Struthio camelus: one gene and its partner. The protein of the gene in region 2 interacts with the protein of the main gene of each other region in a biochemical or structural test. Links are inferred from orthologs where the notes say so. Each region holds a gene or a part of one and is shown on either strand. Other genes may lie near its edges.

The links.
Region 1: of the proteins of TRIM28 (region 2) and SIRT1, one has a biochemical effect on the other in vitro, tested with the Homo sapiens proteins (2 studies listed by BioGRID). The link is inferred for Struthio camelus from reciprocal best matches to the Homo sapiens genes TRIM28 and SIRT1.

Annotation. Positions count from the first base shown.
Region 1 is NC_090948.1:38,569,388-38,581,053, reverse strand, and holds the start of SIRT1 (NAD-dependent protein deacetylase sirtuin-1), read right to left. Parts: upstream 5,443-11,666; 5' UTR 5,423-5,442; coding exon 4,936-5,422; intron 2,487-4,935; coding exon 2,370-2,486; intron 915-2,369; coding exon 673-914; intron 664-672; exon of another isoform or gene 525-663; coding exon of another isoform or gene 502-524; intron 1-501. Other genes in the region: DNAJC12 (dnaJ homolog subfamily C member 12), read left to right, coding at 11,570-11,647. UniProt on the Homo sapiens protein: NAD-dependent protein deacetylase that links transcriptional regulation directly to intracellular energetics and participates in the coordination of several separated cellular functions such as cell cycle, response to DNA damage, metabolism, apoptosis and autophagy.
Region 2 is NC_090975.1:271,857-282,937, reverse strand, and holds the start of TRIM28 (transcription intermediary factor 1-beta), read right to left. Parts: upstream 6,709-11,081; 5' UTR 6,684-6,708; coding exon 6,476-6,683; intron 3,186-6,475; coding exon 3,073-3,185; intron 2,556-3,072; coding exon 2,423-2,555; intron 2,204-2,422; coding exon 2,068-2,203; intron 535-2,067; coding exon 418-534; intron 329-417; coding exon 214-328; intron 88-213; coding exon 1-87. Other genes in the region: ZNF324B (zinc finger protein 324B), read right to left, coding at 10,208-10,768. UniProt on the Homo sapiens protein: Nuclear corepressor for KRAB domain-containing zinc finger proteins (KRAB-ZFPs).

The DNA of each region.
Region 1 (11,666 bases), on a different chromosome or scaffold from region 2:
ACTGGTCTGATTTGGATTACTCATCTTTTCTGAATAACGTCACCATATATGTCTCCATGTATGAACAACTGACTTTTGTGCCACGATCAGGTTCGTAGATATAAAGCTGAAAATGTACAACTGTTCAAAAGTCTTGATTAGTAAAACAGCGAGTAATCTTACTACTGTAGCAGAGCAGCACAACTTAAAAGCAGAATTCAGTCTACTGAAATCCAATCAAAGTCCTGTTATAATTCTTTTTCTTTTGAGTCCTATTCTTCTACTCCTTCTAGCCCAGTCAGCATATTGTAAGAGATCCACTGAGATTTCATTAAAAAACGTTACCTTTGTTTCAAAAGAAAAAAGACTAGAAAGTGTTCTGAAACGGGTAGATAAGATTTTATTCCGCAATCATTTTGCACGAATACTAGGCAAGATATGAAGCAATTGTTTAAGAGTTTAAATGTTTAAGACTATTTTCTTAAAAGAAGAGATCTTGTCATTTCCAGTTTTAAATTCCAGTCTTGCAGTGCACATCATTCTAGTGGACAGCTGTACCTCCTCGTCTCATCTGATACCAGTTATCTGATCACAAATATTCCTGGAGCCAGATCACCTGCATGCGGTAAAGTGCTGAACAGAATTTAACCAATTATCTATATAGTCTCACACTGTCTTTGTGGCAATACGTACCCCTGCTCCAGTCAAGACCATTATTTTTTTGCATTCTTGTAAAAGTTTCACAGCATCATCAATAGTATTAATATCTTTTCGTTTTTTTCTTTTCGGTGGTTCTGAAAGAATGTTTATAACAATTTGCCACAGTGTCATGTCATCCAGTTCAGGTGGAGGGATTGTTTCTGGTAGTAGGTCTTTCAGAATCGTCCGTGGGTCTGTACCTAACATGAGATGTTGCTGAACAAAAGTGTAGGGACCTAACAAAGAAAATTAAAAAACATACATATAATTATTTGAAATCAACATTCAAGTCGTTCAGGTGATCATGCTCACTATTCCATTTTTTAATGCTCGCTACTTCATTTTATTAATCCAGTGTAATGGCTTGTTTCTCAAAAACCATGCATGTCTTGCTCTAAATTCTGAAGTGGTAATACAGCTGGGATTTTTTTTTTTTTTTTATTATTTTACATTAACCCATGACGGACTTCTTAGAAAGTTCATCAAGGTAAAATTATAGTTCGCAGGACGCTTGGAGACTCTTAAAAGATCACATATTTAGAAACATTATTTTCACAAAGTATCTCCATTTTATTACTTCATTCTTTGTATTTTTCCAATATTTTGTAAGATATATACACAAATAAGTTGAAGAGACAACGTACATATGCGTACCTTCTAATCATGTTATAAAACACCACTCTAAATGGACAAATAGGGCTGACCAACAACTGGATTTTTTGTTGTTCTACCCCTCATGATTCCAGGCAGGATTTCCTAAAGCTATCAAATCAATCTTTCCAAAAACGCTCAGGAATAGAGAGGTAGAAGAAGGAAAAAAAAAAAAAAAGGTAAGCCTTAAGAAGCTAAACAAACAAATAGGATCCAAACAGCTACCATTAAGGCTAGTTACAATACACCTAAAAGAAAAGAAACATCACATATGTTTACCCTAAAGGTACATGCAGTGATTCTGCATGTACCCATTCTGTAACATGGGATCAGCAACATACGGGCAGATTTACAGTGAAATACTGCATTGCCTTAAGATGTTCTCTTGCTGCTATTCTTATCAAGAGTGGCAAAGTCATCACTGCAGTACCATCGTGCCCGTGTAAGACACAAGACCTCAAGTTCCAACCCCAGCAGGACCTGGGAGCCCCTTCCCCACACAAGCCACCAGTCACCTCATCAGCGCTTGTCTCACCTCTGTGCAAGGCAAGATCTACTGTTTTCTACTGAGTTCCCAACTGCCATGCTTAACTTCACAAATGCAATAGCTAGGCCAACTAATAATTCCCAAAGTGATATAGCACTTAGGCCAGTAAGCCCTACAGACTCACGTGCCTAAAATCACATAAGAACGTGTCTTGTTCCTTCAAGTATGAATAATGCTAAGTAAATACGTTAGAAATATGCCATAAATCTGTTCAATGCAGTGAGTTTGTGTGCCTACTTTTAACGTAGATCAGGGCAGGATTTCTGCACAAAAAAGCTATTGACAATTTTAATGACAATACAGCAAATTTAGAGAGATGCACTTTTAATCTCCTTAAACATCACACAGAATACCGTCAGCAATTCCAGGCTGCTGAAAAGGCAGTAACTGTAAGTCTTCTGCAACAGCAAAATAAATCCTTTGAAGACTGGGAAGAATTAAGTAACACTTCAAAAGTAAACTGAAGCTAGAAGAACGGTATATAAGTTTCTACCTATACGTGGTCTTGGAGTCCAATCACTAGAACTTGCATGTGAGGCTCTGTCATCATCATCACTGTCACAGGAATGGAAACCATTGGCTATGACTTCATCGCTAAAAAGGAAGTTATCTGCAAGACAGCACAACAGGGACATATTACAACGCTTGAGCCAAATGGCACAGGTACATATTTAAATATATCACAAAAACTAAAATGGTACACTTTTAAAGTTGACTTGCAATGAATTACAAATAGTATGACAGGCAACTTTGCTATTTAAAGACAAAATTTCTATCCTACATTTACCTTTTTTTTTCCCCTCAAGTTTGTAGATATTATTAGAATTACTGCAGGATTTATTATATTAATACCGGCCTTCAGTGGCCTGGATGTTGGCCTTAGTGACTTTTCATTCTATAAAGTGCTGGGCACTACGGTTTTTTGTATTTTATTTAAAACAATTCCAAATGTCTGACAATTGTAATTCCTTTCTCCTACAATCTTCACTTCACACAGCTCTCATTCTGAGACTGAATACAGTTAAATTAATGCACCACCATTTACAGATCAGTCGTCAACTAGATTTTAAGAGCACAACACTAAAAAGACCCACAAATACGCAGTCAGATACAGCTGAGTTACACACATTTGTTGGGCTGCTATCTGTCAGCTGAGCTGCAATAGCTGACCACATTTGCTGTCATAACTGAAACAGGATAAAAGCCTGTACACACTGTACACACTTTTATCCTGTTACAGTTATGACAGAAAACGTGCTGTCTTCAACCATCTGCATGAAACTCAACTCACCCATTTTACCTTGCAGCAGGGTTTGGTTAAGAGCACCACAGAGCTAAGGCCGCTGGCTGAGCCTAAGCAAGCCAGAGTTAACTCCATCTAACTCGACTGTGCGTCTAGATTAGGGAGCCCAGAGAGGAAAGGGGTACTTGTTTCACAACACACGTTAAGCTCACTGACGGAACGGTTAGAGGGAAGCGTCAATGTCACCCTCAGCACCTTATCAGAATATTACCCACTAAGACTTTTGGTTTGTCCTTTCCATTTGTTAGAAAACAGGTACAGCAACTGTAGCTTAATTTGTTGAAAAATCCAAGATCATAACCAAATGAGGACAAGTTACAGTCATCCTCTCCAAAGCAAAGAATCTTTATAGCAGTTTTCAACCTTCAAAATAGTGTTTCAGCTAGGTTACTTCACTCTTAAATAAAGAGCACCACAGAACACTATTTTTTATTCAGAGACTGCGTTGTCACATTCTTCACCTTTTCCTCATTTGCATTAATACTTTATTCTGATTGGAATGGAAAAAGAGTAGAGGACAGAACTGCACTTTTATATTTGCTGTTTTGTTCTTCTGCACTTACTATTTCTTATTATTAATCCAGACACTTGCAGCAGTTTTTCATTCCATCTCATCATGCATTAGTACTGATGTGTGCTAATCACTTCTTCATAACTCTTTTCTTCATAATTGCAATTATGAAGAAAGAAAACAAGTGATTAGTACACATCAGTAAATGTGAAGTGTTAAGTTTTAGTAAAACTACCTCCTATGTCTACCATGTAAGGAATCAAAGCTACATTGTTAAAAGACTCAAATCACAGAAAGGTCACCCATTATCTTGTATTTATGAAATGCTGTGATAACCAGGCTAAAGTAACTGTTTAAATTGTAACACTCCCTGTGCAGTTATTTGATTCCTCAGAGGAATAAAGGCAATTCTTGCCAGAAGTAACTGATACAAAGCAGAACATGCCCAGGATTTGAGTAACTTGAGCAAGAAGGCTTCGTCCAAGGCGTTTACAAAGGAATCGTTAGTTCAACTCTCCTGCTGCTCCAATGAAGTTTTGGAGCAACGGGGCTGTCCACGCATGCCGTGCGGCCCCTGTTCCCTTCCGCACAGCTCCGCCACCAGCACAAGTTGTCTGCAGAGCTTCACTCAGCTTAAAGGAAAAATATCTTTAACTGCATGTAAAGGCCTTACTGGCAGAACGCAACGTCTTTTACTGTTTAAGAAGTCTCTCCCAAGTACCACCTTAAAAAAAAAAATTCAAGGTCCTTGCGTACAGATACTGCCCAAACAGCATGCCTGCAAAGCACATGTTTTTAGAGGCCGAGAGTTCAGTTTCGCGCTCCGGCCGCTGACATCGCAGACAGGGCTGTAACTAGAGTTTACTGCAAGAGCTGGTGGAGACAGCTGCTCCTGTCCCTTTCACAAACGCTTCTGAGAAGCACAAGCGCAAATACGTTATCACAGCAGCAATCGTGAGGAGGAAACGGGGCTCGGGATTTTTCATTTCCAATAACTCCTTACTGCCAAAAACACAGCTCCCAGACAACAAAAACAAGAAAGAAAGAGAAAGAAGGTGTCAGAGACGCGAGCGGAGCCGGCCTCCTGCCCCGAAGCCCGGCACGAGCGGCCAGAGGGGCGCGAGCAAACCGGCCCGAGGCCGGGCAGACAGAGGCGCCCGCCGGCTCCCGCCGGCGCTCAACGGCCGCGACTAACGGCACGAGAGAGCCGCGCCCCGCCCCGCCCCGCCCCGCGCCGCTGCTCACCGGGCTGCGGGGCCGGCGCCGCGGCCGCCCCGTTTGAACACTGCGCCCGCCTGCAGCCAATGGCCGCCGCCGCCGCGTCGTCGCCGGGCGCCGCCTCCGCCCCCTCCCCCCGGCCCCGCTGCCGCGGCTGCCGAGGCGGCTCCGCCCGGGCCAGGCCCCGCGGCCCGGCCCTATTGTCCGCGCCGCTCCAGCCTGCCGCCGCCGCCTCGCCGCCGCCGCCGCCGCCGTCCTCCTCGCTGCCGCCGCCGCCGCCGCGCTCGGCGGTCACGGCCGCCGCCGCCGCGCCGGGCAGCTCCGCCGTCACAGCGGCGGCGGGCGCCGGCCCCGCGCCGCGGTCCGGGTGCTGGGCGGCTGCCGCTCCCCGCCCGCCGCCGCCGTCTTCCGAGTCGAGGCGCTGGCGTTTGGGAGCGGGCTCGGCGCTCTCGGCCGCGCCGCCGGGGCCGCCGCCGCCGCGGGGCTGGAGGAGCGGAGCCTCCCCGTCCGCCATCTTGGAGTAGCAACCGCCGCCGCCCCCCCTTCTCCTCCTCCCTCCCTCCCGCCCGGCGCAGCGCGCAGCAGCGCCACCGCCCCCTCCCCCACCCCCAGGGAGCGATTTAAACGCGGCACGTGACCACGCCACCGCCCACGCGGGCACCCGCCCCGCCGCGGCCGCAACAACAACAAACCGGGTCACGTGACGGGGGTAGGCCGCGGCGGGGGGGGGGGGGGTGCGGCCAGCGGCACGTGACCCCCGTGCCGGCTGAGCCCTCGCGCACCCCCCCCCCCGCGACGTGCACACCCCTCGCGCCACGGCGGTTGCTCGTCACGTGGCCGCGCGGAGCCCCGCCCGCGAGGGGGCGGAGCGCCGCCGCTGAGGGGAGCGTAGCGGCCGCCGCTGAGGGGGAACGTAACGGTCGCTCCGGCCGGGCCCGGGGCTGTGTCCGGTGCCCGTGCGTTGCCCGAGCGAGGTCGGGAGAAGGGAGGCGCCGAGTTCTGCCTGAAGTTTGTTTCCCCTCCCCGAAGTCCGCCGCAGGAGCTGGCGCCTGTGGTGGGACAGTGCCCGGCAAATGGCGGTTCCGGGCTTCCGTCGTAGGTCTACCTGTTTCTCCCGTTAAGTATTTACAAAAGAAAAAAAGAGAGAGAGGAAAAAAGCCCTCGCTCTTCTTTACAATGATCTTTAGAACGAGGATATGAAATACGCAATGCGTCTTGCTGAAGGGGGGGGGTGGGGAAAGGTGTTTCCTGTCACTGACTTCATCCCTTCTGTTGGATTTCTCTGTAGCTGTCTTGGGGTGGTGGGATTAAACCTGCCCCCAAAAACTTGTAAGGATCTCTCTCTTGGTACATTTGCCTGTCAGGTAACTTTACTGAAAGGTCTGTAAATGCTTTTCTGTAAACGTGGAGCTGGCTGACCTGAGGATAAAAAGGGAGATACTTAATGGATTTCAGCCTTTGCTTGGGCAGTCAGCTTGTCTGCTGACTGCACTGAAGGATTTTTGCATCTGTTGGTTGAGCTTTTGGTAGGGATGCTTGAACATTACCATGCTGCTTAAACTCTTGAGTTGGAAGAAGTTTGTCACGTGGGTTTTCCAGAACCTACCTTAACACTTTGTGTTTTAAAGAGCGAAGCCTACACAATTTACTAGATACCTGATGGTAAACTGCAAGAGCAGGGGTTTGCTCTAGTGATATTCACAATTTCATTCGTTTTCATGTCCCTGTTCCCTCATGGCACATACGCTAGCAACTGTGGTGATCTGTGTTTTTAGTGACCTCTGTTATTTAAGCATTACTTATAGAGGCAGCCTTCTAACGGCATCAAGGCTAACCAAGCCTTGATGCTTGGTTGTGGACCATCATTGTATAGTGCATACAGAGCTACCACGTTTTCTTTGGTTATTTTATCTCTTTCTACTTGGAAGTCTTGTTTGGACTGGTTTTGGCCACTTCCCCAGGCCTTTCTGATGTCCACAACCCTAAACAGTGCAGTAGGCTTCCAGATTTCCAAGCGGCACTAAATGGCCGTCACGCAGGCAGCTCAGAGAGCTGACTTCTGACCCCAGGCTTGGGCTGATGCAAATAGATTGTCAATAATATTTTTACTTAAATTTTATACTTTTGCTTATGCATGTGGTTTCTGGTTTTGTCTGCCTTGGCTTTGTTTCCCCTTGCAGATGGGGCATTGACCCCATCTGTCAGGTTTGTAATATACTCAATTCACGCTGGCATGGGCATCTTTCTTACTGCACCTTGCAAGATACAGTAGTGGTCAGACAACTGTGTAGTTGTTATCCTGTTGCTTTTATAGACTATTTGAAATTTGGAATTTTAGGGAATCAAAATGTTGGGCTGGACACAGTTCAAACATTATGCAGACCCCTGTTGACCACGTAAAATTTTGTTTAGTAGAAGTGAAACAGAGGGGGTGGAGGGAACTGCCCTTGTAAAACATGCTGTTCTCGTTCATTTTTGTGCTTTGCTGAATTTCAGTTGAAATACCAATGTGAAAGATATCTGAGAATATTTTAATTTCTCTTGCTTGTATTTTTTGCTCTGTCAATAGGCTCTGAAATGTATAATATCTGTTTGTTTTATTTTCTCTTTCACAATAACAAATTAAAGAATGAAATAACCCCAGTCAGCTGTGTGAAGTGTTGGCTACATTGGTTTTACATCATTGTTTCATCTGCTTACTTGTTCCTGAACTGAACTAATATTAATCAGTGTGCTTTTGAAAAATCAACTCTGAACTTTAAAAGGATAAGTATTTTTTTGCAGCTGCTTTGGTTTTATTACCTAATAATTATCTGCCTACATGAACGTTTTGATCTAAGCTTTATGGATATAAATGTAAATACTGTTTGGTTTAATGTGCCACTGCTTAATATCACAAGCTATTTACAGAATAATTTTAGTGAATTTATTACAACAAAATCCTTAAGTTTAGTGGCAAGGCTGAGATTAGGCAGGCAGAATGTATCCCTTTCAGGCCTTGATACCATCAACTTAAACAAACAAACAAACAAAACAAAACAAAAACCCTATACTTTTGGTTAAAACTGTTGATACTTAGTTTGGGCTTCCAAAGGAATTGTTTTCTATATAACTGGTTTTATAGGCAGTATAAGTGATTATGAGGAGGAAAAAAAATCTATTTTTTTTTTCTTTAGTTCTTCCAGTTATTAACAACAAAATCCCTGGAAAAACATACCATTTCTGAAACTTTACATTTCTTTTATTGAGGAACTATTTCTCAAAAACAAGCTGTGAAGTAACTGAATGTGAATCATAGCATCATTTATTATTCTGTGCAAATCTGAATGTATGCATTCTTTAAATCCTTAGTGAAGCTGAGGTAAGATTCAGATTATTATAACAGCACGTGCATGATACTTTTGTCAGCTATCTAGGAGAGGCGTGACTTAAATACACACCAAAATTACAATATTAACATGAAGACAGTGTTCTAACGAAGAAACTATCTCACCTGAGTAAGTACATGATCTAAAGCTTTCCGGAAAAGGTAGTGGTGAGGAAATAAATCAAGGCCCCTAAAGCTGATACGGATGTTGCAAGCATTTATGGGTGTTAATAGTGTTACAGCAGTAGTTGCCCCTAACTTGGGAAGCCAGTTTAGTGCTGCTTAGGTCAGGTCCTCTCCTGTTTCCGCAGCTCTAAGCATGCGTTGGGACAAGGCCAGAGCATGAAACGCAAAGCTCAGTGATACTGTGCCTGGAACTTTGTGAAAATGTATACTCTTTGTCCTCAGGAAGCAAAACAACCAAAGTCAATTGAGAAGAACTGATACTGGAAGAACTTCATGCATTTTATGGGAATAAATTCCCACCTAATCGATTCAAAATACGGATTTACAGATTTTGCTGATTTATTTAAAGGGCCATTTTGGACTTCTGTAAGTTGATGGCAAACCTTCTGTTATGCTGAAGCAAGCTTTGGTGTCATGTTATTTCACTTGTAAATGACTCAAAGCCAGCAAAATTGTGGATAATACGTTACAAGTGAATAGAAACATTTTGTTTGTGGTTGGTACAGAGAACAAACATCAGATTTCCTCACGCTCTGCACTGTTTGTACGTTCTGAGCAACACCAAGCAAAACGCAGGTACACACAGACTGTGCCATCTCCTGCACCCTGATTCTCTTTGGCATAAAGTTTATGTCTTGAGAACAATCATTGTATTTTTTCCTGTGTATTGTATGCAGGTTCTCTTACCCTCCTTTCCAAAGATGCCTTGCCCTGTGGGTTGTCCTGCTGAGATCAGTAGGAGTAGTAATAGGTTGAGTTACTGTTCAGTATCGGTAAAGGTGATGACATTTGGATTCATGTTTTTTCTATTAATAATGCAAACTAAACTGATAATAAGGGGCTGGTTTGTTCATTCCAGGTGAACGTGCATACGCTGGTAGTTACGCATTGTTTTGAGCCTTCTCCAGTTCAGATTTAGCTGTCATCCACGTTCAAACCTTCAGACCGTGCTACCGGGGTGTTTTTGTCCCAAGCATGAGAACGCTTTGGGAGGAGGGAACTCCAATGTGCTCGCTGCGGCAGTGCCGGTCAAGCTCTTCATTATTCAGTCCCAATGGACGGATTATGGACGGGTCCAGGGCCTCAGCCGACAAATCTCCTGGATGGCACTTCCTGACCAGAGTGAAAGAGAAACTCGCGAGTCTCAGGGTTTAGTCTGCTGAATCCTGCTCTTGGATCTGCAGTTCACCTTGCAGCACAAAAATAGCTACCAAAATCTGGAGGAAAATAGGGTTAAAGATCCTTCCCTTTCACCTTACGCAAATATGCGAGAAATACTTGGACGAGAACGGTATGTCAGAAGTGCGGCAGGGGAACAGGGACAGCTGTTTGTTTTTTGTCCTCCCCCAAGTACAATCTACTTAAATATTTACACGATCTCTTGCTAAAAGGCTTTATTTTTTCTATTATGCTTTTATGGTTTGTTAGAAATGGGGGAGTGGGAAAGATTTGTAATTGTTAATTCTTCTACTTTGTTGAAAAAAATAGATTAGCTGTTTTATCTGCTCTGAGAAATATGATAATTATGATTTCTAGCAGATTTAAATCGTTCCACTGAGCTTTGTGCTTTGTTGTTTAATAAAATACACAATTTTAATTAATACTTTAAATACTTAATTATATATTATAGGCTCTTTTGTGTACTTTATATATTTTACTATCTTAATAGACTATCTGAATGTACAGTAAAATAGAAAATTTCAGACAGTACAGCCTTCTGTGTTAAAGAGAAAGCAGTGGAAGGCTAATAGACAATTTTAAAAGATTAATAATATATATCATAAAACAGTAATAAAAATAAAGCAGTTGTAAATACAAAAATATTTGGAATTGCCACTAGGTTCTCCCTGATTAACATACAGCTAGTCTAGCCACAGTTACACCCTGTGCATCTGTTCCACATTGACACTCACTTACTAGTGACTTACTAGGTCACTGCATCTAAAATTGATTAAATATTCAAGATATAAATTGGTAAGTAGTGTTTTTAAAGAATAAGCACTATTTAATGACCTTAAACACCTTGCATTACAAAGCTCTGGCAGGGACGGAGGGAAACAAGAGTGCTCCGTAGGCTCCAGGGGAAAGGCTTTAGTGAATGGCTGGTATTACACCTAGGAATTTTTTTTTTTTTTGTTTAAATCCACGGATCATAGGAAAGTACAGTAAATCATATCAGTAGTCTCTATGTGACCGAGGCCTTGATCATTAATCACTGCTCAAACTTCAGGCATTTCACTTCAATGTGAAATGAGTTTTACAAGGCATGTTTACTACACGCACGATAAAGACCTTCAAGACAGAATTTGAAAGTAATTGTACATGAGAAAAATATTTCTTTTGATAACAGAAAACAAGTATTTTATTTTCATAGTCTGAACTTTGTCAGACACAAAATTGATGTACAAAAACGATGAATTTGTTTCTGAAGAATAAATTACCTTTGTGTCCTATGTAGTAGTCTTCAAAAACTAAAGATTCATCCTGCTCTCTTGCAGTGACGGACAGAAGTCTTGGGGGCTTTGGCAAGGCCAGGGCTTCATCCACAGAACTTTGCAGCCTTATGATCATTGTTTTTGAAGTAATCCGCACTCTTTTCTATAATTATCTATATAATCCCCTTGTCAAAAGTTGAGGCAGAAGTTACAACTGAAAATTAAGCAGAATATATATTTTAATACATGTGGGTCCCGGTGCAGGCAAGCCTTTTAAGTGTGCGCCTGATTTTAAGTGGATGTATGCATGGTGGCAGGACTGAAGTCTCAAATACAGCTAGATTTTACTTAGTATCCTGAATTCTTTCCAGTCGGTACCAGAGCCAGAGTTTAATGTTGCAATTACTTTGGCAACTACAAGTCCCAGGGAGCATTGCCATCAGCAGGCTTGTGCAACCGGATTGGCATCCTGCAGGGGCCAATGGAGAGCAGTTCCCGAGACTTCATGTGTCTCAGCTCCCTCTGTTAAAAAGCACTGGAGAGAGCTGTAGACCGGAGTGGAAATAGCTTATTTCCCTTGGCTACTTTTAAAGCAGTCTGTGAGCTTTGCATTGGTTCTCATATTCTACATCCCCAGTGCCTCAGCTTGAGGAAGGCCACCGGGCTCACCCAGATGGATGCGATTTTGACCTACAGCCCGGATGACTTGGAAGATTACTACAACTTGCTGGGGTGTGATGAGCTGTCCACGGTAAGAGTCCTCCCTGCCT
Region 2 (11,081 bases):
GCGGAGGATGTGCTCCTGGTGCCGCTGCAGCTTGGTCATGGCCCAGTGCTGCCGCTCCAATTTCTCCTGCTGCCCCTCCGTCACCTTCTGCAAGGAGAGGAAACACAACCACCATCAGCGAGGACAGACCAGGACATAACGGATGCTGTTAGGGGGACACAGCTGCTCCCCAAGACCCCAGAGCGCAGACACGAGGTAAGAGGAGAAGCTCACCTGAGCGTCGCTCACCAGCACCTTGCCACGCTTGTTCAGCTCCTTCATGATCTGGAGGATGGCCATCTTCACGTCCACCTGCACCCGCTTCTGCACATCCGTCACCTGGCGGATGCTGCCGGCAGAGAAGGCCAACGGTGAGGGGGGCCGGATGCTCTTCGCTGGGGGCAAATCCCCCTGCCCGGGGCAGGTGGGGGTACGTACGAGCTGCGCACTTCCTTGGTGGAGCGCTGCAAGCTGGCGTGTTTGTCGCCCAGGCGCTTCACCAGCGTCGCCAGCATCTTGCGCTGGTTCCTCACCGCGTCCTCCAGGAACTGGTACCTGCAGGGGGGGGAAATGGGGTCAGCGGCGGTCCCCAAAACACCAGGATGGCCTTGTCCACACTGATCCACATCCCCCTAACACAACCGTTGGGGGTCCCAGAAATAATCTCGCAGACTTAACTCCAGGGCTCACCAGAGTAGCAAATCTACTTTAGTTAGTTAACCTGCTCACTGCTGAGCTCACCTTCTTCATTAAGCTAGTTAAGCCATTAAAAACAAAAAAAGCCATCAAAAAAGCCACTTAAAACCTAAAAGCTATTAAGCCATTAAAATAAATAAAATCAATATGGGTTAAACAGCTGGCAGAACTAAGCAGCTGGTCAAGCTAACAAAATCCATTAATCACCTACTAAAAATCAATTTCACTCAAATGAGCTGCCTATCTTTATCAGTCAAGTTTCATATTAAATCCATTTTTAATGGCCAATTAGTCAGACAACCAATCAAACTATCAGCCATTAAAAGATAACCAGATAAGCAGCTAACTAACCACATTTATCAGTTACAATTCAAACAATCATAAAAAAAGGCGAGCTAACTTGATGACTACCGATTCAGAAATCAATCATATTTTAAATGAATTTTAGTAAACAACAAATGAGAAAACTAACGGAACATTTTACCCACTAAAATTCAGGATATTTAAACTAATCACTTAAAAAAATGAAATGACTTTTACAGCTTCATCAGCTAAATAATCAGTAAGAAACACTTAAACTGATTTTTAAGGAATGACTAACAGTTACATAACTAAGCAATCTAATTATCAGTTAAAACCATCAAGCTTTACCTGGTTAATTAGGTGATTAATTAGAATGCGCAAACTTTACTCTTATGATAAAAACAAGTCATAGTAATAACTAATGCAACTTATTAGGCAAATTAGACGACTAAACAAGCAGCTTATTAGTCAGTTCACATTTTAATCTGAGATTTTTAAACAGTTTTATCCATTAAAATCAGTCTGAAAAATAATTAGTTAAAAATTAAATAATTTAATACATTAGCAAAAGATTTGTTAGATTTTTAATGGATAATTAATCACAGTCCAATTGACTGAAAACTAAAACCAACTTAAAAACTAAAATTGATCAGCTTGCTAACTAAACAGATAATTAACCAGATATTACATAACTAAGTTATCTATTGGACAAAATTCAGTTGATTAAAGATTTATTTTTTTAAATTGCTAGCTAACAAAGTTAAACTGATCGGCTAGCCAGCTAGTTACTTAGTTGTTTGACTTTTCTTAGTCATTCCTTAAAATTCAGTCTAAAAATCAACTAAAATCAACTAATTCAAAATTAATTAAAAGCAGGCCCTGGCAAGTTACAGAACACATAGGCCACAGAATCAAATTTTCATTGATAATCAGACTTTGATCAGTTATCTGACTTGACATAAATCAACATATTGCATCAGTGATCTAACTTACTATCTCTTCAAGTGATTCATTAGCCGTGAAAAATCAATTTGGTTGTATTTAGTCAGGACGCTAATTAGCAAGTGGACGGGCTTGCCAATCACTCACTGGTGATCCTTGTGCGCGTTGAGCTGGCAGTCGCGGCAGGTGAGCGTGTCGCACGTGTCGCAGAAGAGCACCAGCGGCTCATGCTTGTGCACGGCGCAGTACACGGCGCGCTCGCCCTCCTTCGCCTTGGAGCCACCTGCGTGGGGAAACGTGGCACGACATCACCACGATGTCACCGTGACGCCACCGACCCCCGCCACCTCGTTGCGGGATGGCTACAACTGCTGCGGTGGCCCTAACTGCTGCGGTGGCCCTTCTGGAGGCACACAGGGACCACCCCAACCCCGCTCAACGTCCCTCCACGTCCCCGTCCTCCCAAAAGCTGGCATGTCCTGGCGCGGTGACAGCAACGGACCTGTGGCTCGGACTGTGTGGTCCTTGGTATACTTGACCCGCTGGTGGGCCTCCACGCACGTCTCGCACAGCGGCTCCGAGCACTCCACGCAGTAGCTGGTGGCCGGCGCGTTGTCCTCACAGCTGGTGCAGCACTAGGGGACAAGGATCCGTGGGGTGACATGTGTGTGGGGCTCGGAAACACACGTGTGGGACCTGGCCTGCCCCAAATCCTCGGCTGCAGGGATTCTCTCGCATCTCGTACGGAGGCTGTACTCACACTTCCACCTCTCCCCAGCGACTAGGAGCTCATTTTGGCCACGTTATTTCAGACCTGTTTTATCACGTCATCACATTATTTATTGGACGAACAATTTAGTTTCAGTTTTGCCCAGCTTGTGCAATGCATGCCCCAAAAAAAGGCATGATTAACCCTTGAACCACTGGGGAAGGAGGAAGGACAACCCAATATAACTGGATTATTACCAATTAGTTAATTCAGGCTATCAGCATTGTCGTGGCAGGGATAAAAATAATGCGTTGTCTTAATAACAGCACCCAAACACAACAGACCAAGGAGGTCCCTGAGGAGCGGCTAGGACAGGCGCTACGAGCTTGGCCCCCCCTCATCGAGGAGCTCCGCATCAACGCCTGGCCGGCACGGGGCCTTACCTGGTTCAAGTCCTTGTTGTCGGCAGCCGCCTCAGCCCCGCTGTCCCTCAGGAAGTAGTTTTCCACGATGTCCTTCAGGTTACACTGGTGCTTGCAGATGGGGCAGTCGACCACTGTGGGGAGGGAAGCGGTGGGGTGGGTGCGGGGAAGGTACGAGAAGCAGCCCCTAACCCCTGCTGTGTTTTGCCCCGATTGGGGCGTTTTGCTCCGGTCGTGGCGTTTCGCCCCTCCAGACTCCCCTGGAGGCGGCCAAGGGACCTGCGCAACGCCTCATCCCCTTTTCACCCTCCGAAGCCTCCTGCAAGGAGGTGGCAGCGGCCAGGCTGGGACAAAGCAGCTCCGCGGCGGCAGAGATGGGTCGCCGGGGCTGACCGAGAAGCCCAGCCTGGAGGCAACCTCTCCCACGAGTTTTTTGGCAGCAGAGCCCATCCAATGGAAGGCGAGAAGGAAGAACCCGGAGCAGCCGGGAAGATGCCCTGGATATCTGACCGCTGAGCTAAGAAACCCTCAAAAATGGGATGGCTGTCGAGGCCAAGCTGAAAACTTCACTCCGAAACCAAACTTTTCATGCAGAAGCATGCTCTGGGTGCCCCGTCACGCCAGGAGATCCAAAGAGGACTCGTCAGCACTGATTTTGGCTGCACGGGACCTCTGCGGGTCCTTGCTCCAATCTGAGCCCAATGCAGGACCAGTACAGACCAGGTTCCGCATAGGATGCATACCTCCACGGATGGAGACTCACCAGGACCCATTCCTGCTTGGGGCAGGGCAGAGGGGACCTTGCTGGTCCAACCCCAGGCCAAAACGGGTCCACCTGGATCAGGTCCCTCATGGTCACACGCAAACCTTGAAGACCTCTAAAGACAGAGGCCCACCACATCCCTGGGTCTCTCCCCAGCTGACCTCACCGGGGCAGGAGGGTCGGGGCTTCCAGGGGTTCCTGCACCAACCTCAACCAAAGCAGGACCATTGCCAACACCGCACTAGGTCGCTGACAGCTTCACCTAGCCAAACCTCTAAGGACGGAAACCCACAACTGCTCTGGTCCCCTCCAGACAAAGAACTTTCTCCAGATGCCCAACTTGAACCTCCTCAACCAGAAGCCACATCAGGCACCCCTCGCCGCCTCCCCCAGCTCTGCCACCAACAGCCAAGCAGCCACCGGTCTACCCTTCCTCCTCCTCTTCCTCTCCAGGGCTTTGAGAAAGGGTAAGCCACCTGCGACCGTTGAGATACCATCTACCACAGGTGGCAGCGAGAGGAAGCAGCGCTTCTGATCTCTCCAGAAACTTCTCTGCCTGGCAGATGCCAAGGCAAGGGGAAAGAAAAGAATGGGGCTCCAGGACTGGGGTGAGAAACCTCCATAGAGGCGACCACGAGCAACGCCAAGCTCTGCCACGAGCGGGACAACACCACGCTGGGAAGGACCCAGGCATCCGGGCAAGGCCAACAGGGCCACAGGGCAGTTGGGAGCTTCCTGGTACAAGCCGGTGTCAAACTGGGATGAGGCCAGCAGAAGCCACCAAGCACAGCACGTTCAGGGAGCGGCCAAGGGAGCTGGTGAAAGGGGACCTAAAGGTCCACCCGACATCCCAAACCACCTCCGGAAACACGGACCAGCTTTCTGGGAAGAGCTCATTGGTGTTGGAGCCCTCAGGGAACCCAAGGGCATCAAGAGCACCCATCTACTCCTCCGTTGCCCGGCTTAGCACCCGCGCGAGCCTCGCACGCCCACCCTGCCTCACCCCAGCGCCCTCGCGCCGCCTACGCCCCCCCCCCCGCCGCCCCTTCCTGACCTGCGGACGGCTGCAGGGCCCGGCCCGCGCACCCCTCCCCGGCTGGCCTGGCCCCTGCTGCCGCTCGCAGGCAACCTTCCCCCCCCCCCACCCCGGCACAGCCCAGCGCAACGTTTTCCCCTTGCATAACCCCCCTCCGGCAGTACCGTGGGGCCTCGCCGCCCCCCCCCACCCCCCATTACCCCAGGGCCTCGCCCCCCCCCCCTCGCACCCGTTACCCCGGGGCCTCGCCGCCCCCCCTCTCGCCCCCCGTTACCCCAGGGCCTCGCCTCGCCGCCCCCCCTCTCACCCCCGTCGACCTGGGCCTTTGCAGTCTTCCCCCCCCCCCCACGTTAGCCCAGGCCCTCGCCACCCCCTCTCACCCCCCGTCGACCCGGGGCCTCACCGCCCCCCCCCTCACCCCCCATTACCCCAGACCCTCATCGCTCCCCACCCCAGTTAGCCCAGGCCCTCATCGCTCCCCACCCCAGTTAGCCCAGGCTCTCATCGCCCCCCCCCCCCCAGTTAGCCCGGGGCCTGGCCACCCCCTCCTCGCCCCCGTTATTCCGGGGCCTCACTGCTCCCCCACCCCACCCCATTAGCCGGGGGCCTCGCCGCCCCCCCACCCATATTAGCCTGGGCCTTTGTAGTCCTCCCCCCCCCCGTTAGCCCGGGCCCTCACCGCCCCCCCCCCGGTTACCCAGGGGCCTCGCCACCCCCCCCCCCGGTTAGCCCGGGCCCTCGCCACCCCCCCCCGCAGTTACCCAGGGGCCTCGCCACCCCCCCCCCGGTTAGCCCGGGCCCTCGCCACCCCCCCCCGCAGTTACCCAGGGGCCTCGCCGCCCCCCCCCGGTTAGCCCGGGCCCTCACCGCCCCCCCCTCGGTTACCCAGGGGCCTCGCCACCCCCCCCCCGGTTAGCCCGGGCCCTCACTGCCCCCCCCCCCGGTTACCCAGGGGCCTCGCCACCCCCCCCCCGGTTAGCCCGGGCCCTCACTGCCCCCCCCCGGTTACCCAGGGGCCTCGCCACCCCCCCCCCGGTTAGCCCGGGCCCTCACTACCCCCCCCGGTTACCCAGGGGCCTCGCCGCCCCCCCCCCCCCGCTTACCCAGGGGCCTCGGCGCCCCCCCTCCAGTTAGCCCGGGCCCTCACTGCCCCCCCCCCCGGTTACCCAGGGGCCTCGCCACCCCCCCCCCGGTTAGCCCGGGCCCTCGCCGCCCCCCCCCCCGGTTACCCAGGGGCCTCACCGCCCCCCCCCGGTTAGCCCGGGCTCTCGACGCCCCCCCCCGGTTACCCAGGGGCCTCACCGCCCCCCCCCCCGCAGTTACCCAGGGGCCTCAACCCCCCCCCCCAGTTAGCCCGGGCCCTCACTGCCCCCCCCCTGGTTACCCAGGGGCCTCACCGCCCCCCCCCGGTTAGCCCGGGCTCTCGACGCCCCCCCCCGGTTACCCAGGGGCCTCACCGCCCCCCCCCGGTTAGCCCGGGCTCTCGACGCCCCCCCCCGGTTACCCAGGGGCCTCACCGCCCCCCCCCGGTTAGCCCGGGCTCTCGACGCCCCCCCCCGGTTACCCAGGGGCCTCGCCGCCCCCACCCCGTGAGCTCGCCTCCCCCCGGTGCCCGCCGCCCCCACCTGGCCCCTCCTTGGCGGCGGCCGGCGGAGCGGCGGGGCCCGGCTCGGCCCGCAGGCAGGGCCGGCAGACGGAGTGGAGGCAGGGCAGCAGCCGCGGCTCCCGCTCGGCCCGCAGCCGCTCCCGGCACACGCCGCAGCGCTCCAGCAGGTCCAGCGAGTCCGAGCGCGCCTCGCCGGGGCCGCCCGCCTCGACCGCCGGCCCCGACATGGCGGCGCCGCCGCCGCCGCTCCCCCCCCCACTCCAGCTCGACCCCCCGCACCGGGGGGGGGGAGGTGGGGGGGGCTCGCGCGCCACGGCGAGCTGCGCGCGCAGCCCGGCTCGGCTCGGCCGCCCGCCTCCGCCAATCAGCGCCCGCGGAGGGGGCGAGGGGGGGCGGGGTCTGCGGGGGAGTGACGGGGCGGTGAGGCAATGGGAGGCGCGCGTTGGCGGGGAAGGCGGGAAAACGGAAAGAGGCGGGAAGGGCCCGCCTGCACGCGACCGCGGAGAGGCGGGGGTTAAAGGGAGACGGGCCAATCAGCTCGCTCAACAGCGCGAGGCAGCAACTGAAGCCCAATAGGCGTCCGGAGAGCGAGGATTGACAGGGCGTGGAGGCCAATCCTCTTCCTCTAAGCGCTTCCCTCCCCCCGCTAGGCTTCCAGGGCGAAAGCTGTCTCAAAGCCCGGAGAGGGGGCAGGCTCTAGACCAATCACCGACCGAATCACCACAGGGAAGGCGGAGTCTTAAAGATGAACGTGGCGCTCAGCCAATCGACAGCCACAGCCCTCCAGGAGGCGGGGCAGTCGCTCTGACTGACACCTTGTTGAGCCAATCATCTTCTAAAATACCTTACGGGGGGGGCTCCTCCCCGATCCAGAGTCACTCCGGTTTGCCTCTGGTGGCCAGGAGGGAGTAATGGCGGGAGTGGCTCCGGGGTGGGGCGGCCCGAGGGCAAAGTCGATGGCTGTGGCTAGGGCAGGGCTCTCACGGGGCAGGGCCTGGGTCTGGATGTGTGTTGGGCCTGGGCCCGGGCCCGGGCCCGGGCATGATGTGGGCCTAGGCCCTGGCTTGGGGCTTGGGGCTTGGACCTGGATCTGGGCCTGGCCATGATGTGGGCCTAGGCCCTGGCTTGGGGCTTGGGGCTTGGGCCTGGATCTGGGCCTGGCCATGATGTGGGCCTAGGCCCTGGCTTGGGGCTTGGGGCTTGGGCCTGGATCTGGGCCTGGCCACGATGTGGGCCCAGGCCTAGGCCCTGGCTTGGGGCTTGGGGCTTGGACCTGGATCTGGGCCTGGCCACGATGTGGGCCTAGGCCCTGGCTTGGGGCTTGGGGCTTGGACCTGGATCTGGGCCTGGCCATGATGTGGGCCTAGGCCCTGGCTTGGGGCTTGGGGCTTGGGGCTTGGGCCTGGATCTGGGCCTGGATCTGGGCCTGGCCACGATGTGGGCCTAGGCCTAGGCCCTGGCTTGGGGCTTGGGGCTTGGACCTGGATCTGGGCCTGGCCATGATGTGGGCCTAGGCCCTGGCTTGGGGCTTGGGGCTTGGGGCTTGGGCCTGGATCTGGGCCTGGCCACGATGTGGGCCCAGGCCTAGGCCCTGGCTTGGGGCTTGGGGCTTGGGCCTGGATCTGGGCCTGGCCACGATGTGGGCCCAGGCCTAGGCCCTGGCTTGGGGCTTGGGGCTTGGACCTGGATCTGGGCCTGGCCACGATGTGGGCCTAGGCCCTGGCTTGGGGCTTGGGGCTTGGACCTGGATCTGGGCCTGGCCATGATGTGGGCCTAGGCCCTGGCTTGGGGCTTGGGGCTTGGGGCTTGGGCCTGGATCTGGGCCTGGATCTGGGCCTGGCCACGATGTGGGCCTAGGCCTAGGCCCTGGCTTGGGGCTTGGGGCTTGGACCTGGATCTGGGCCTGGCCATGATGTGGGCCTAGGCCCTGGCTTGGGGCTTGGGGCTTGGGGCTTGGGGCTTGGGCCTGGATCTGGGCCTGGCCATGATGTGGGCCCAGGCCTAGGCCCTGGCTTGGGGCTTGGGACCTGGGTCAGGGCTGGGACATGGGCCTGGGCCTGGATTTGGGCCTGAGGCTGGGTCTGAGGCTGGATGTGAGCCTAGTCGTGAGCGTGGACAAGATCTTCATCCTGGGGCTGGGTGTGGACGTGGTCTTGGACATGGGCAGGCGCCTGGGCCTGGGTCTAACCCTGGATCTGGGCCTGGACGTGGCCCTGGGCCTGAATCTGGTCATGGATGTGGGCCTGCATCTGGGCTTGGACATAGACAAGAGCCCGGGCCTTGGCCCAAGTGTGGGAATGGGTTTGGGCCCCGGTCAGGGCTTTGGCCTAGGCCTGGATGTGGGCTTAGACCTGAACCTGGGCCTTGCCGGGTCCGGATGCCCAGTGTCCCCCCACAATCACTGCAAGCCTCGCCTGGCCCCGCTGGGCAGGGAGAAGCCCTCGGACCTGGCCGGCCGTGCACAGGACAGCCCCCGGGCGACTCCCTCAGCCTCTGTTCCCACCCTGGCAACCCCGGAAGGCGACTAGCCCGGGGCAAACAGCCTCCCTCGGGCGCTGTTCACAAACCAGGGCGCCCATCGGCTCCCTCTACCCACCTAATTCTGCCCCGCTTTCGCTTCTCAATCATTTTAACGCCTTCTTTTACCCACAGAGAAGACATTGGGGGGTCTCTAAAGGAGCTTTGAGTCCTCAAAGCTGCTCCGCCGCAGCCAAGGGTCACCCCCGGCAAAGTCTTGTCTGCTCCCGTCCTCCCTCGCACCCCGAGAGCGATGTTTTCGGGATCCCAGGGGCCGAGCGAGCGACCGGGCGTGGATGTGGGACCGGCCCCGAGGAGGAGAGCGGAGGCTGTGAGGCCGTTCCCGGCGGGGAGAGAGACGACACCCCGAGCTAAAGATAAGGACGCTGGAAATTCATATGGAAAATTCACACAAAAATCACAAAAAACAAAAAGAAAAACCACCAAAACCCGGCTCAGGAGGGGGCTGTCTTGAGAAAGAGCGAGAAATGCTCCGGGAAGGCCGCTCAGGAGAGAACCGTCTCGAGACCTTCGCTCAGGCGGCACCGGACGACGACGAGCGTCGGCCGCGGGTGCTTCGCTCCGGAGAGACGCGACAGGAGGACGCGGCAGGGAAGAGCTCGCCCCGCCGCGCCGCCGGTACCACCCGGAAAAACCGCCGAGGCGACTGTCTTAAAAAAAGTCTCTCGCCTCCTGGTTTTCCTGGCGGCCACCGGCACGAGGCAACGCCGACCTCGACTTCCTCGAGCCGGAGTCTTCCTCGAGTCTTCCTCCAGCGGGGCCGGCGAGAAAGCGGGGAGCCCTTCGGAGAGGCTGAGCGCAGTGAGTCCCGGAGGGGCTAAGACGCCTTTGGGTGGCGGAGGGGACGCTCCGCCGCTAAATCAGGAGCTTCCTCGCGCGGAGACGAGAAACCGGTTGGATGAGCCCCGCTGGAGAGCTACTGAGATGGTGCTGAGCGAAAAGCCTCGATTTTTGCCCCGATCCCGGGACTCCGGGAGGCTTTACGGAAGGGAAACAGAAAGGGTTTTCCCCCACCGGTCGACGGCAGGGCAGAAGGGTGAGTCCGAATACCCCCCCGCAGCGGTGGGGCGGGGGGGGAAAAAACCAGCACGGGGCAGCCCGGACGGAGGCAACGGGCCCGGGAAGGGGCGCTGGGTTTTCTCCCTCCCTTCTTCGCCCCCGGCGAAAAAGAGCGGAGAAGGAGGGGGGAAAAAAAGGAGCGCGGGGCGGGCGTCTAGGCGCGGTGGGTGCGCTGGTGCCGCAGGAGGTGGGCGGCGGCGGCGAAGGCCTTGCCGCAGCCGGCGCACTTGTGGGGCCGCTCGCCGGTGTGGGTGGCGCGGTGGCGGGTGAGGTGGGCGGCGCGGGCGAAGCTCTTGCCGCAGTCGCCGCAGGCGAAGGGCCGCTCGCCCGTGTGGGTGAGGCGGTGGCGGGTGAGGTGGGCGGCGCGGGTGAAGGCTTTGCCGCAGAGGCCGCAGGCGAAGGGCCGCTCGCCCGTGTGGGTGCCGCGGTGGCGGGTGAGGTGGGCGCTGCGGCGGAAGGCTTTGCCGCAGCAGCCGCAGCGGTAGGGCCGCTCGCCCGAGTGGGTCTCGCGGTGGCGGGCCAGGTGGGCGCTGCGCCCGAAGGCTTTGCCGCAGCGCTCGCAAGCGTAAGGCCGCGGCGGCGGCGGTGCCGGCGGCGTGCCGGCGCGCTCCGGGCCCGGCCCGCCGCCTCCGTGCGTGCCCAGGTGCCGCGTCAGGTGGGAGCTCCAGCGGAAACCTTTGCCGCAGTACGGGCACGCGTTGGGCTTCTCGCCCATGGCGCCGGCGCCTCCTCGGGCCTGGGCGAGGAGAGAGCGGCACAAACTGGGGTTACTGGGCTGCCTGCGGTTGGCCCTGCGTTCCCCTCCCTCCTCGCGCTGCCCCGAAGGACCCAGGTTTCGGCCCCGCCGCTGGCTTTTGTCCCCTTAGTCCAGTTTCCTCCCTGATACCCAGTTTCGTCCCTGCTGCCGAATTTCACCTGCGCCGCCCGAATTCGTCCCCGGGGCTGGCTTTTGTCCCCGCTCCCCCCCCCCCGTTTTGTCCCCGCTCCCCCCCCCCGTTTTGTCCCCGCTCCCCCCCCCGTTTTGTCCC